Linked DNA regions of Oryctolagus cuniculus. The main gene of each other region encodes a partner of the protein of the gene in region 2 in a complex. Links are inferred from orthologs where the notes say so. Each region holds a gene or a part of one and is shown on either strand. Other genes may lie near its edges. The genes, in order: CNOT6L, CNOT10 and CNOT6.

Region 1 (4,623 bases), on a different chromosome or scaffold from region 2:
GCTTACCCTGCAGGTTTATGCTAACCAGGTAGATGAAGTAGATGATTATCTATCTTATGTATCAAATGCAAATTATCAACCATGGGATTTAACCTCTATCAAACTTTACATATTTCATTTGTAGTTATCTTATATGACTACCTTTTCCTACTTGACTTAAGCTTTCAATGACATTAGAAACTGTGTTTCCTTTCTGTCTATTGTATCTGGCATTGGACTTGAGACAAAACAAATGCTCACTAAGCATTTAATAAATGAACAAGTAAATCAAGTTTGAAATTTTAATTGAAAACAATGAAAAAGTTTATAAGATGAATAATTCTGAAAAAAGGTCAACTATAAAAAATCCAATTTCACATTGATAATCTTAAAAGGTAAGTTTTTTACATAAAAATTTTACTTTATGAAAATATATTCTTAAACACAATTTTAAAACCATATTCAAGTCTCAGAAATTTTGTTATTTGGCAATAAAGATATATAGAATACTAAGCATCCTTGTTTCCAAAACATGGCCTAAGAAATAAATCATTAACAACAGTTTTTCAAATTGTACAACACTTGCTTTCTAGCTTTTTGTTATTTTAAAGGGTCAAACCAAAGAAAAGTTTAGATGTGTGATAATTAAAAGAAATAAGTTTCGACTTTTGTGCTTTGTTTCCTAAACTCACTTTTCTGTTTTGAAGAATATTGCACAACCATCCACATGCTTTCTCTCCTGCTCAGACATGATTTTGGCACGTGACTTTGGAGAAAAAAATCCATCATATCCACGCTCCTTCAATGCTGGCAGAAAGAGAGTGAAGTATTGCTCTGTTTCCACTTCCTGAGATGAAAGAAAAGTTATCATCTACATGACATTATATAACTTCGGCTAAGATATGAAAATGTTCAGCATTATAAGTAGGCTTGATTAAATTAAAATAGTTCGCATGACAGGTGACCATCTTACTTTACTGCTAGCAACTGCCATTTGACAATGCTAACTCCTTAAACATGAGGAAAACAGAAGAGTGACCTGAACGTCACATGCTTACACAGGTAGTTAGTAGCTGGAGCAAGATTACAACCTGGGTCTCCTGACTCCATTCCACTATACTTCCCCCAAAACAAATAAGTAAATTTAGTATATGACCAATAAGGTAGAATGGAACAGTAAATTTGATATATAAAAAGGTATGTTTTAAAATTATTTATTCTGCTGAACCATGATGAAAAGGAATGATATCCCAAAATGAGAAAAACAGATTAAAAAATTCTACTTTAACATATTTTAGGGAGTTGTCAATCATTATTTGTTCTCTGCTAATTTAACAATTGAGTTAGACTAATTTATCCCTTGACCCTTAAATATTTTTAACAAATTTCAAAATGAAATAATCAAATACAAAGATAATGATGTATATAAATGCTCAAAACAGCATAATTTGGAAAAAGCAAAACACCAAAAAAATTAGATTTCTAACAGTACAGAAAAGGCTATATTAATAAATATTCACATATTAATGTGTTTTTAAGAATTTTAGTAACATGAATAGTGCATTAAACACAATTATAACAAAAAGGAAAATATACCAACATTAAGGTCTCAATTTTATCTTGAAAATATTCTGTAAATAAATTCATAAGTGAATACAAAGAAAATATGCAGAAAACACTCTAGATGTTTTGACAGAGCAATTATCTTTGAGACAAGGAATGAGATTGTTTTTTTCCATAATACTTTATCTTTTCTCGCAAATTTAAATTTCCCTAAAATAAACACTTTATAACATGGTATTATTTTAACACAGAAAAGCAATTTTCTTGAACTGTTTTTATTCTTTAAGCTGTACTTAGAAGACCAAGACTACTACTGTATATATGAAACCGAATCAAGTAACTACAACAGTCTAATTTTGGTTGCCTCTTCCTCCCCTCAACTCTGTGTCAGTCTTAGTGTTCAGAAGAATATTTTTAATTTTGAAGATGTTTACTTCTTGTTATTTCCAAGACAACAGAAAAATAGGGGCTGGCACTGTAGCATAGTAGGTTAAACCTCCGCCTGCAGCACTGGCTGCAGGTGCTCGTTCGTGCCAAGCTGCTTCTCTTCTGATCCAGCACTCTGCTTATGGCCTGGGAAAGCAGTGGAAGATGGCCCAATTGCTTGGGCCTCTATACCAGCACAGGAAACAAAGAAGCAGCTCCTGGCTCCTAGCTTCAGATTAGCTGACCTCCAGCTGTTACAGCCATTTAGGAAGTGAACCAGTGGATGGAAGACCTCTCTATCTGTCCCTCCCTCTGTCTATAACACTGCCTCTCAAACAAATAAATCTTTCAAAAAAAGAAATACTTAACCAATGTGACAAATGTTAATTACCCTGATTTGCTCATTCTACAATGTACAAATGTATCAAAAATATCACACTGCTCTCCCAAATATAAACAATTCTTATTTGTCAAATCAAAACGTTAAAAAAAAAATTTTAAGTCTTTAAAATGCTTTGAAAGTAGCTAAGGAAAGTAGCTGAAAAAAATTACTTTTTAACTGGATAAATTTTTTACCTAATTATTAGCCAAATGTTGAAAAAAAGTGATACATATTCCATGAAAAGGACTATTTTTCAGTCTTTGTTACAATAAAATTATAAAACAGATGAGTAAATTCCTTACAAAGTAGGGCAAAAACGCATGACTTACAATATAATATTTTAACTGTGGGGAAGCACTTTTTCTTCTTAACAACTCTATTGTAAGTTAAATTTATATTCCTAAAAGATTCAGCAATCATTTGTAGTTTTCTCTTTCAGTAATACCAAAGGTTTTTTCATAGAATGAACTCGTAACATGAGTAATGGGTAAGATTATTTTTTCATTTAAGAAAATAGCAAATTAATGTTAAGTGGATGGCTGTACTAAGCAACACAGTTTCCCTGTGGAATATCTTAAATGCTAATTAAAACTGTTCCTTTTTTAAGAGAAAGAAAATAATTCCTTTAGAGTTTCACTTCAAACAAAGGATCTCTCCCAGAGGGAAGAACTTCTATTATTTTTAAGTTCACCTTTAAGTTAAAGACAATTTAATCTCTATAGTGTTACCTGAAGACTAATGATATCTGCGTCACAGTTAACAATTTCTTCCATAATTCCCTTTTTCCTGTATTCCCAGTTTAATGCCCAGGAGGGGCAATAGCCATATAGCTGCCGGGTGGCGTATTTATCACATAACACATTGTAACACATAACCGTGAATGATGCTAAGAAGTGGGAGAAAAACAAAAAACAGGGAGAAAATTAGGCAACTTTTACTAAAGCAGTATCATGCATAACCTGCAAAAGAATACATATATAATCCAAAAATCATCTTTATAAAAGACTAGAGGAAAATTAACATAGTAAATACTAAAATAGAAATACTAAAATTTCATTAGAATACATCATATTTAAGTTCTTTACTATTCTTGAATTAGAATGTTGTTCATACTTGAGATTTTTGAGGAAATTTCAATAAATAAAAAAACTCATTTTAAATCAGCATGCTAACTTTTGTACATAATTTGCCAAGAAAAGCTTCTCTGTACAGTGGAACAAAAGCACATTTTAGTTTCCTTCTAATTAAAGGACTCTAACTTCATTACTTTTTATTAACATACTATCTAAAAACTCTTCTGGGTCTTGTACTGCTGACCCTATTCTGAGCTAGAATAGTAAAGACTATAACAAAATTTAGTTACAAGAGAATACTTTTTGCCAATCAAATGTTCATTTGTCAAACGAAATTCTCATCTTAAAATATTCTTGAATTAAGATATGCATTTGGCCTAGCAGTTAAGATGCTTAGGCAGTGGAAGGTGGCCCAAGTCCTTGTGCCCCTGCACCCGTATAGGAGACCCAGAAGAGGATCCTGGCTCCTGGTTCCGGCCATTACGGCCATTTGGGGAGTGAACCAGCGGATGGAAGACCATTCTCTCTCTCTGCCTTTGCTTCTCTGTAACTGCCTTTCTAATAAATAAATAAATCTAAAAAAAGAAAAAAGAAGAAAGAAAAGAAAAGAAAAAGACCAAGATGCCTTCATCTCATCGGAGTACCTGAGTCCAACACCTGCCTCTAGCCTCTTGCTAATGCAGACCTGGAGACAGGAGTGACGGTTCAAGTAGTTGGTTCCTGCCACCCACATGATTCAGTTCTCAGCTCCTGGCTTCAGCTCAGCCTGGCCCAGTGCCTGGCATTGCAGGCGTTTGGACAGTGAAGAGAGCTCTCCTCTGTCTCTCTCTCAAATAATTTTTGTAATGACCCTGAATAATAAATGGACTGTGAACAAACTAATAGGAGAAGATGGTTTGCTTTAAGTGTACTTTAAGGACCGGTAGCATCAGCTACACATCACCTGGGAGCTTTGAAATGTAACTGCTGAATAGCTTAACCAAAATGTAACTGCTGAATAGCTTAACAAAATTCCCAAGTAATTCATAGGCATGTGCATGTTAAAATACGGAAAAAATTCTAATCTTCATCAGTTATCCTCTAGCCTTGCTTCCCCATCAGAACCACTTTGGCAAACTTAAAACAAAAGCAAAAACAATTGCTGATTCCAAGCACTGTGTCCAGACTGAGTCAGAATGTCAGCGTCCACGTATTTCTATT
Region 2 (4,623 bases):
GACAAGCCACGACTGTGTTCTGACTGTGAGGAAGGAAGAGAGTGAAATAACCCACAGCAAGCAGGGACCCGGGCCAGCACCCCTCAGTCTGGACTTCCCCACACTTCCAACAGGACCGCTGTCTTCTGATCACTCTCGCGCTGTAAAAATCGTGTCATTCATCTGTCCAAGCAGAATACAAATCTCCTAAGCAGACAGCTTTGCTGCACTTTATTAAATACCCTGCACACGGCAGGGCCCGGCTCTTCCTCGCCACGCTGACGGTACCTTCCCCGCTGTGGCTTCCGAGCGGGACGCCCACTTCCAGCTTCCTGCACTGCCAGAGTCAACACGGAGAAGGGGCAAAACCCCAAATGGCCTCTCCCCACAAAGCATTATACGATACGGACGGCTGGATTCCATGTTGTAAAAACTAAAGTGAAATGTAAACATTAACAGCAGCAGCTAAGTACTTACCGTGCGCCAGGCCTGCCAGGTTAATCCTCTCTACCCTCTAGGACATACATGGAATCTCCATTTTATAATCGTGGAAACCAGCACAGAATGCTTCATTATGCTATCCAAGGATACATGGCTAGGAAGCATATTTTCAGATTCTGTTCCCAATTAAAAAGAACAGATTTTTCTAAAGTAATGAAAACCAAAAATACACGATGTCACACAAGATGGTCAGAACAGGCTCTCAAGGGCTATTCTGAAACCCTAGCTCTCAAGCCGATCAGAAGAACAAGAATCAACACTTATATTTTAAAGCTCATGACATTTGTAGAGCCCCTTCCCTGAACTGGGGCAATGGGCTTGTAAGCCATTCTTAATTCCATATAATACATGCAATTGGAATTCCACCTATGTTAACACTAATCCACTGTCATTATGAAGACTGCAATAAACGACTGTAACACTACATAATTAATTCTCATATAACTAATGACACTTCCCTAAGTCATGCAGGGGAACTGTGGCACGTGGCCTTACCAACCTCTGCCTGGCTAATGGTAAGAACCCGAGGGTTCAGAACACAGCGTGATCTGTAACTGGACTTCCGCAGACTCGTCACTGTGGTGAGCCCAACACAGGGTAAATATTAGCAAATGGTACCTGACGACCACCAGCGTGTACACTTCATTGAGTCTGGGAGATTTTTTTTTTTTTTTAAGATTTTATTTATTTGAAAAGTAGAGCTACAGAGAGAAGAAGAGACAGAGACCGAGATCTTCCATCTGCTGATTCTCTCCCCAGATGGCCACAACAGCTGGAGCTGAGCTGATCCAAAGCCAGGAGCCAGGAGCCAGGATCTTCCTCTGGGTCTCACACATGGGTGCAGGGGCCAAAGCACTTAGGCAATCTTTCGCTCTCCGAGGCCAAAGCAGAGAGCTGGATCGGCAGTGGAGCAGGCAGGACAGGAATTGGCACCCATATGGGATGCTGGCGCCGGCAGAGGCTTTGCCTGCTACGCCACAGCGCCGGTCCCTGGGAGCTCTTTATGACATCCTTCCCATTTCAAGTTTCTATCTGCAAATGATTAAAGATCGTCTCCTTAAAAAGAAAGAACTCAGAGAAAGAATGAGCTAAGGAAGGGCTAATTCTAATTTTTAACCAGCGAGGGGTATTTCAGACAAAGCGGTCTGAATTCAGCTCCGGCTGAATTTACCACTTGAATAACTGCCACATTTTTTATGATTCACCAAAAATAATCCAATAACTGCTGAAGGCAGAACAAGATTGCTCGATCAAGGAGATAAAACATTGATGAAAGTGGAGTAGGTGGAAAAACCATGTCACTGCCCCTAAGACACGCGACCGTGGACACGCGACTTAGAGAAGCCAGAAGACATTAAGTACAAACACTTCTAGGAAACCAAATGCTCGGAAGGCACTGGACCAACAAAAGGACTTCAAAAAGCAGGTTTTCTTGGCTTAACAGTAAGCTTGCACAAACCCTGTATTCTAAGAGAACATTTCCATGACTTTGAAGGAAATGGCCCATGGAGCAGAGGGGTGTCACCCTAGGTAGGGGCAAACGTCATCTTTCCTCTGATCCTGGAACTCCAGAGAGAGTCACGTGTAAAGTTACAACGGAAGGTGATGGTCTAGGAACACCAAGGGGGCTACACATGCAGGAGGTTCACTTCAAATCCTGCTCCTCCCCTTACTAGTTGCATAAATTAAAATCATTGGACTTCCTAAACCCCAATAACAAGTATCTTCCTCAAGGGTTGAATGTAAGGATTTTATGAGATAAGGCAGAAGAAGTGCTTAATACAGAATCTGGCATTCAGTAGTCAATCAATAAATGTTGGCTGTTCTCATTCTTTGATAAAGAATTTTCGTAGAGTCAAAAAAATGACCTCAAAAAAGAATTAGTGGCCGGCGCCGTGGCTTACTAGGCTAATCCTCTGCCTTGCGGCGCTGGCACACCGGGTTCTAGTCCCGGGCGGGGCGCCGGATTCTGTCCCGGTTGCCCCTCTTCCAGGCCAGCTCTCTGCTGTGGCCAGGGAGTGCAGTGGAGGATGGCCCAAGTGCTTGGGCCCTGGACCCCATGGGAGACCAGAAGCACCTGGCTCCTGCCTTCGGATCAGTGTGGTGCGCCGGCCGCAACGTGCCAGCCACGGCGGCCATTGGAGGGTGAACCAACGGCAAAGGAAGGCCTTTCTCTCTGTCTCTGTCCACTCTGCCTGTCAAAAAAAAAAAAAAAAAAAAAAAAAAAGAAAAAAAGAAAAAAAGAAAAAAAGAATTAGCCTCTGTCTCTCCCTCTCACTGTCTGTAACTCTACCTTTCAGATAAATAAATAAAATCTTAAAAAAAAATAAAAAGAATTAGAAAGAATTAGCAAGAGCCCAAGGGATATTCATTTCCAACTGAGCCGTACTTTAGGCTGATACTGTACGGTACAGGGTATTCACAACAGTACGGAGTTTCAAGAGCCCCTACAGCACAAAGCAGTGACAGAGCGCGGGCTCTGCAGCAGACACGCCTGCGTTCACAAGGCTCGTCCTAACGCAGTCTTGTACACGCCCTCCATGCCTCAGCTTCCCCACTTGCGAGAGGGGACGCCACGGCAGCTGCTCACGGGACTACTGGGCAGAGTGGCTGAGACACTGCATAAGGTTCCTGGTAGGGCCTGGTCGCACGGTGACAATCCGTCCCTGATCCCAAACGCCAGGACAGGCAGACACTACTCATTGTCTCTGCAGTCATTAACAAGATAGGAGCACCTCAGAAGCCAAGTTCTTCCATACAATTCTACTTCAACCTTCAAAACTCCAAAGCCCATTCAAATTTCACATATTGTTCTATCATGTTCAAGCTCATTAAAAAAAAAAAAAACAGAAAAAAACCCATACAACATATTTTTCATTGCCTAGATTAATAATTTTAACTAAGGAAGTTTAATTCCAACAAATATTTCAGATACATTAGAAATTATGCCATTAATATCAGTCAAGTAATTATATTTTCCTTAACTAGCTATATTTCACAAATTCAAGAATATAATAACATTTTAAATAGTTAAATTCATTTGCATATCACCTGATTCTTCAGCTGGTTAAGTGTTTGTCTCAAATTATCTGTTGTTGTTTGGTTACTTTTAAAAAATTCAGCTACTGCTGTATTCAAAATTATTTTATAATCATCTTTGTTTATATCTTGTAGACAGGCGAGGTGTTGTAGACAGGCATCGTAATTTCCAGACTAAAAAAACAAAAACAAAAACACACACACACATTCACACACACATACAATTACATACCAGTGTTCAGAACAATAACCATCCCCAAGTACATTGTATTCATTTTTACCTTAAATATTCTTAAAATGAAAGATATAGTTCCCCCAAACAGATCAGTTACACGAAACAATTTTCATGTCAATTGAGAAACTGTATATATGTACTTCCTAGGACTCACACTGACAGGGACACATCTGTCTGTCAGACATACAGTTGGATATAAGTATCTCAAATTGTAATTTCTTTGAATATTCAAGTATCCCATTTTGCTATATATATATGACCTTGATAATCAAAGTTTTCTTTCATATCACTTAATGTTAGAAAAGCTAAAATTATGACGATAGCCTTCTGGAGTTTTTTTAAATTAACTTTTAAAAGTTTTGGCTATCTGTTTATCTGAAAGGCCGAGGGACAGAGATAAAGGACGCAATCTTCTGTTGGTTCACTCAACAAACGCCTTCAACAGACAGGGCGAGGCTGGGCTGAAGCCAGGAGCCAGGAGCTCCACCTGGATCCCAGGCCCAAACCGCCACGTGGCTGCTCCCCCACACCAACCCCTGGCATCCCACTTTAGAGGATATCCAGGACAAAGAATCGGAGAGCAGTGAAATGAAAGCATCGACCTACATCTTTACAAGTACATTTAAAAGACTTCAAAACACAACAATGTGAGAGCTAAACATGTTTATGAAAACACAGAAACTTGGGAATGGTTCCAAGGACTTCCCTTGCTTTCACTGCATTTAAAATCACACTTACATACCTCTTACTACATTTAACTATTATCAAACAAAACTACATTTAACTATTATCAAACAAAACCATCAACTGAAAAGCTCACTGTGGAGACTCCACTTGACAGAGTCCTGCAGTTGCGCAGACTGAGAAGC
Region 3 (5,141 bases), on a different chromosome or scaffold from region 2:
ATTTTGTAGAAGTTAGCAATTTTTTTTTTTTTTTTGACAGGCAGAGTGGATAGTGAGAGAGAGAGACAAAGAGAAAGGTCTTCCTTTGCCGTTGGTTCACCCTCCAATGGCCACCAACGCAGCCGGCGCACCGCGCTGATCCGATGGCAGGAGCCAGGTACTTATCCTGGTCTTCCAAGGGGTGCAGGGCCCAAGCACTTGGGCCATTCTCCACTGCACTCCCTGGCCACAGCAGAGAGCTGGCCTGGAAGAGGGGCAACTGGGACAGAATCCGGTGCCCCGACCGGGACTAGAACCCGGTGTGCCGGCGCCGCAAGGCGGAGGATTAGCCTAGTGAGCCGCAGCGCCTGCCAGAAGTTAGGGAATTTTAAAATTAAAATGAAAACTCCTCTAGATAATGTACTAATTTCCAATCACAACAAAAGTGCAAACAGTTCTGCATATACACGAATCAAAATCTTTTCTCCAGTAAAATACATGCTCCTATCTAAACCTACCTGAACTTTTCCAAAGTGATAAATGCTTTAAAAGCAGTGTTTCTCTCCAACAGTTAACCTAGCACATGGAAATGGGTTACAAAAGTGCTGTAAAGGGGCTGATGTGGTGATGCAGTGGGTGAAGCCGCCATCTGCATCCCATACAACCACTGGTTCGAGTCCTCACTGTTCCACTTCCAATCTACCTCTGGCTAATGCACCTGGGAAAGCAGCAAGACAGCCCAAGTGCTTGGGCCCCTACCACCCACAAGTGAGACCCAGACAGATTTCCAGGCTCCTGGCTTCAGCCTGGCCCAGCCCAGCCCCGGTCATTGCAGCCATTTGTGAAGGGAACCAGCAAATAGAAGATTTGCTGTCTCTCCCCCTCTCTGCCTTTCAAATAAAAAAAAAAAAAAAAAAAAAAAAGTATCTTTAAAAAAAAAAACAAAGTGCTTAAGATATTGATAGGGCCAGCGGCGTGGCTCACTTGGTTAATCCTCCACCTGCAGTGCCGGCATACCATATGGGCCCCGGGTTCTAGTCCCAGTTGCTCCTCTTCCAGTCCAGCTCTCTGCTGTGACCTGGGAAGGCAGTGGAGGATGGCCCAAGTGCTTGGCCCTGCACCCGGATGGGAGACCAGGAGGAAGCACCTGGCTCATGGCTTCGGATCGGCGCAGCGTCGGCTGTAGCAGCCATCTGGGGGGTGAACCAACAGAAGAAAGACCTTTCTCTCTGTCTCTCTCTCTCTCTCTCTCTAACTCTATCTGTCAAATAAATTAAAAAAAAAAAAAAAAAGATATTGAACTCTCACCCCTCACAGCCCCAAGGTTCCTGCTATAAGCAGCCCTCAACATTTATTCCAGTAGGCCTTAGATAATAATATTCTTTCCTGTTGCACCACTGATATGAAAAGACTATAAGAAGGTTAATATGTGTACAGTGGAATGAATATCTGGGTATCAACCAAAATGTATATTTATATACTACTAGTGGGCAAATTCTTGTAACACTTTTATTTGCAGCCCAAGTTCTTACAAACCACAGCCTTGTCTGTTCAAAAGAAAACAATCTGAAGTTTCCCAGTAATTGTAGTGTGACTTTGCCAACAGGTTAAAAAAAAAAAAAAAAAAAGAGTGAAAATACCTTCCAATTGAACAGGCATTCAAACCCAGCTTCTTCAACCACATCACCACTGATGAATACACTTAAAATTATGCCAAGGATAGATTTCACAGAGAATGTGAAGTCTCAAAAGAAAATATATGTCTTAAGTCACAAACTCTTTTTAGCATGTCTTTAAACATCTTGGTCACTTATTGAGAACTGATCAGAGTAAACAACCTTAAGTAACTTCAACCAAACAGCCCCTGCTCTCCCCAAAGAATGTCAGGCAGTGACATCACCCAATCACATCACATGCTCATGCACACAAAACCTGGTCCTTTCCCTTCTGATTGCAGTATCTCGGGCAAGTGGCTTTGACCACTGAGCACTTCACTTTCCTCATCAGCAGCTGTTCAAATAGTTCATTTGAGGCAAGAAGACTGGACTAGATCACTGGTCTAAAGATACTAAGCAGTCTTTAAGACTTCATCACATTCTAAAGACTATGGTGACTGTCTTCACTGCAATTAAAAAAAAAGCCGATTTCTCACAGGCCACATCAGCTCCTACAGCCTTCAGAACTATTTTAGAGCAATGTTAAAGTCTACTGTATTGTGAAAAATACGAAGCGCTACTACACACCAGTTTATTTTTCCCTTATTCATACCCACTGTAAAGTTAAAGCCCCAGACACAAGCAGGCAAGGCGCTCAAGCAGCCAGCGATGAGACAATGTACCTAGAAAACAGGTTTTAAGTACAAGAACTCAAATCCAAGCATTCTATAAACTGTGTCAGTTGAACACATCAACAAATCCGAGGTGGCCGAGCAAGATGACCAGTCACACTGTTGTCATCTGCAGTAAGTTAAATAAAATAAGGTTACAGGTGCTGGATGCAAGGCAGAGGAGGAAAAGAGTCGATGGGGAAAAAGTTTCCAACGAAAATAACGCCGGGTGTTGAAAAATAAAAAAAGAGATGTGCCTGGGGCTACCGGAGAAAACTGCTCGCAGCGACGGGACTGCCCACAGGCGAGTCGTAGCAACACGGTAAAACAGATCTCTTCACCCGGTGCTAGGTGAGCTCTACCCTCGCAACACCCCCTCCCCAAAAGAAAGTCGGCGTCAGACAATGTTAAACAATTCGGGGGGAGGGGTAACAGTCGGCTTCCCGCTCGGCAGTAACTGCGACGTTCCACGCTCCACGGCGCGCCACTTGCGCCTCGGCACTCCGGGCCCGGGACTGCTCCTCGGCTCGGCGGGGCCGGGCCCGCCCCCCTGCGCGCCGCCGCCGTCCAGCAGCGCCCCCAGCCAGCGCTCGGGGGGGGGGGGGGGGGGGGGCGGGATCGCGGGCCGCCACAGCCGCCCGCCTGCCCGAGGCAGCGGGCCCGGCGCCCGCGGAACTCCAGCCCGGGCACGACCGAGCGGGCTCCGAGCGCGGCCGGCCCGCGGGCCCGCCTCGCTCACCTCTCGAGGGGCGCCGCCCTCCTCCGCCGCTGCCGCCGCCTCCTCCCTGTGAGTGCAGCGGGGTCTGACCTGTGGAACCACCATACCAGTCCCGCCCGCTGCTGCAGCGCCGCCGCCGCCGCCGCCGCCGCTCGTCTGCCGCCTCAGCCGCCGCTCTTTTGTTCCCCTCCGAGCGCTGCCGCTCCAGCCGCCGGCCTCAGACGCCCCGATGGGCCGCCGCTACACCTTCCTGCTCTCTCGGCTCCCGGCCTCGCCCTCCGCGCTGCGCCCGCCGCCGCCTTCGCTCCCGCGCCGCCGACGCCGCCGCCACCGACGCCGCCGCCTCCTCTTCCGCGCCCCCCTCGTTTTCATTGAAAGCAAACAAGCATCATGGCGGCGGCCGCCGTCCCCCAGCCCGGCCGCCGCCGCCGCTCTAACATCCCGGCTGCCCATTGGCCGACGCCGGCGGGAGATACCATCGGCCTCCCCCGGGAGGGTACCCAGGCCCCGCCCCCTTACCCCCCCCCCCGCGCAGGAGCGCAGTGAGCCGGCCCGGCGCTCTCCACCCCGCCCGCCCGCCCTCCCGCCCTCTCTTCCCTCTGAGCTCTGAGTCCCTGACCCGCCTCTCTGTTTTCTGCTGTTGTTAAGCCTCTTCCTTTTTCCTTCTTGCTCTTTTCGCCTCAGGTGGTTCTCCTTTATCTCATCTTTTCCCTCTTCTTCCTTGAGTCTCCTCCTTTGCCTTAAGCCTTAGCCTGTCAACACGTGGGAACACAGACAGGCTTGGGACTTTTGACCTTAAACCAGTATCTTAATCTGCCTAAAGGCAATACTTCGGGTGGTCCTGAGCAGCCCTGTAATTCTGCCTGGTCCAGTTATGCAGAAAAAAATACGCACGTGGGCCGTTTCAGTCCTGCAAGTTAATGGATGGTTTTGGTGGCATTGGCCTCGCCTGTGAAACCACCCATAATTGCATTCAAAGACCAAGAGGTTCTATTCAGGGCAGGCCGTGGTGTTTGGTGAACAGAGAAAAGGACACAGGGGTGACTCAGACCTCACCCTGCCCGAACTACTGATAGGGGCAAGACAGCTGGAAAGTCAGAGGTGTATGGTACAAAGGAACTGAAGCCCATCCACCTAAATGACACAACAGGACAGGATCTTGCCTGGAAAGTCAACCCTGAGAGATGAGCGTGAGATGGCTTCCAAGAGCTAACAGGTGAGATCCTCACTCACCCACTGCCTCCAGCTCCAGGGGGTGTGGAAGGAGAGGGGCTGTTGCTTGGGTACAGACTTGGCAGGACAAGCATAGGCCTAAAAGGCAACCACACTTGCTCCTCCCCAGAATTGCCTTGAGATGGGCATTGCCTGCCCTTTGCCAAGACATAAGCAGTGACAGCCTGGAATGGTAGGGTCGGGACACGGGACAGGGCAGGGCACTGGCAGTAAGCCCAACACAGGTAGGGATCAGTAAAAACAAGCAGCCCAGCATGGCCACCAGCCCCTAGGCTGCTGGAGTTGTGTACCAGGCTGAGGGGACAGCAGGGCAGGCACGTGTGCTTGTGCCCCGGCAGCCAGTGCTCTGGCCTGCAGAAAGGGGTGCTTTTCTGTAATTACTCAGCCCACAGTGGGCTATTTACTCATGATTGGCACAGTATGTGTGGTGGACGGCAAGAATGGTTGCATCACAAAATACATGGTAGCACAGAAGTAGCCATGCCACAGACTTGTTTGGAGTCAACTCTGGACTAGCCCCCATGGGGTGGAGGGTGGAAACTGTATCAACCCAACCTGTGCACATTATGTTCTTTGCATAGCTGGGGAGAACTCCGTAAAATGTCTGTTCATCCTTTCAGATCCAGTTGCAGTGTCACTCAAATTGGCTTATGCAAAAAAGAGGTTATTTCTTCATTCAGGTGTTACATAACTAAATCTTGCAGGCACCATAAGAGGATCAATCTCTGGGCTGGCACTGTGGCGAAGCAGGTAAAGCTGCCGCCTGCAGTGCCAGCATCCCATATGGGCACTGGTTCAATTCTCAGCTGCTCCACTTCTGATCCAGCTCTCTGCTATGGCCTGGGAAAAAATGTAGGAGATGGCCCAAGTCCTTGGGCCCCTGCA

Evidence for each region.
Region 1: CNOT10 (region 2) and CNOT6L share a complex: the UniProt entries of both Homo sapiens proteins name them as parts of the CCR4-NOT complex. The link is inferred for Oryctolagus cuniculus from reciprocal best matches to the Homo sapiens genes CNOT10 and CNOT6L.
Region 3: CNOT10 (region 2) and CNOT6 share a complex: the UniProt entries of both Homo sapiens proteins name them as parts of the CCR4-NOT complex. The link is inferred for Oryctolagus cuniculus from reciprocal best matches to the Homo sapiens genes CNOT10 and CNOT6.

What each region holds. Positions count from the first base shown.
Region 1 is NC_091439.1:88,238,313-88,242,935, reverse strand, and holds part of CNOT6L (CCR4-NOT transcription complex subunit 6-like), read right to left. Parts: intron 3,237-4,623; coding exon 3,079-3,236; intron 827-3,078; coding exon 672-826; intron 1-671. UniProt on the Homo sapiens protein: Has 3'-5' poly(A) exoribonuclease activity for synthetic poly(A) RNA substrate.
Region 2 is NC_091435.1:169,323,872-169,328,494, reverse strand, and holds part of CNOT10 (CCR4-NOT transcription complex subunit 10), read right to left. Parts: intron 3,694-4,623; coding exon 3,532-3,693; intron 1-3,531. UniProt on the Homo sapiens protein: Component of the CCR4-NOT complex which is one of the major cellular mRNA deadenylases and is linked to various cellular processes including bulk mRNA degradation, miRNA-mediated repression, translational repression during translational initiation and general transcription regulation.
Region 3 is NC_091437.1:67,034,549-67,039,689, forward strand, and holds the start of CNOT6 (CCR4-NOT transcription complex subunit 6), read right to left. Parts: upstream 3,382-5,141; 5' UTR 3,131-3,381; exon of another isoform or gene 3,045-3,130; intron 1-3,044. UniProt on the Homo sapiens protein: Poly(A) nuclease with 3'-5' RNase activity.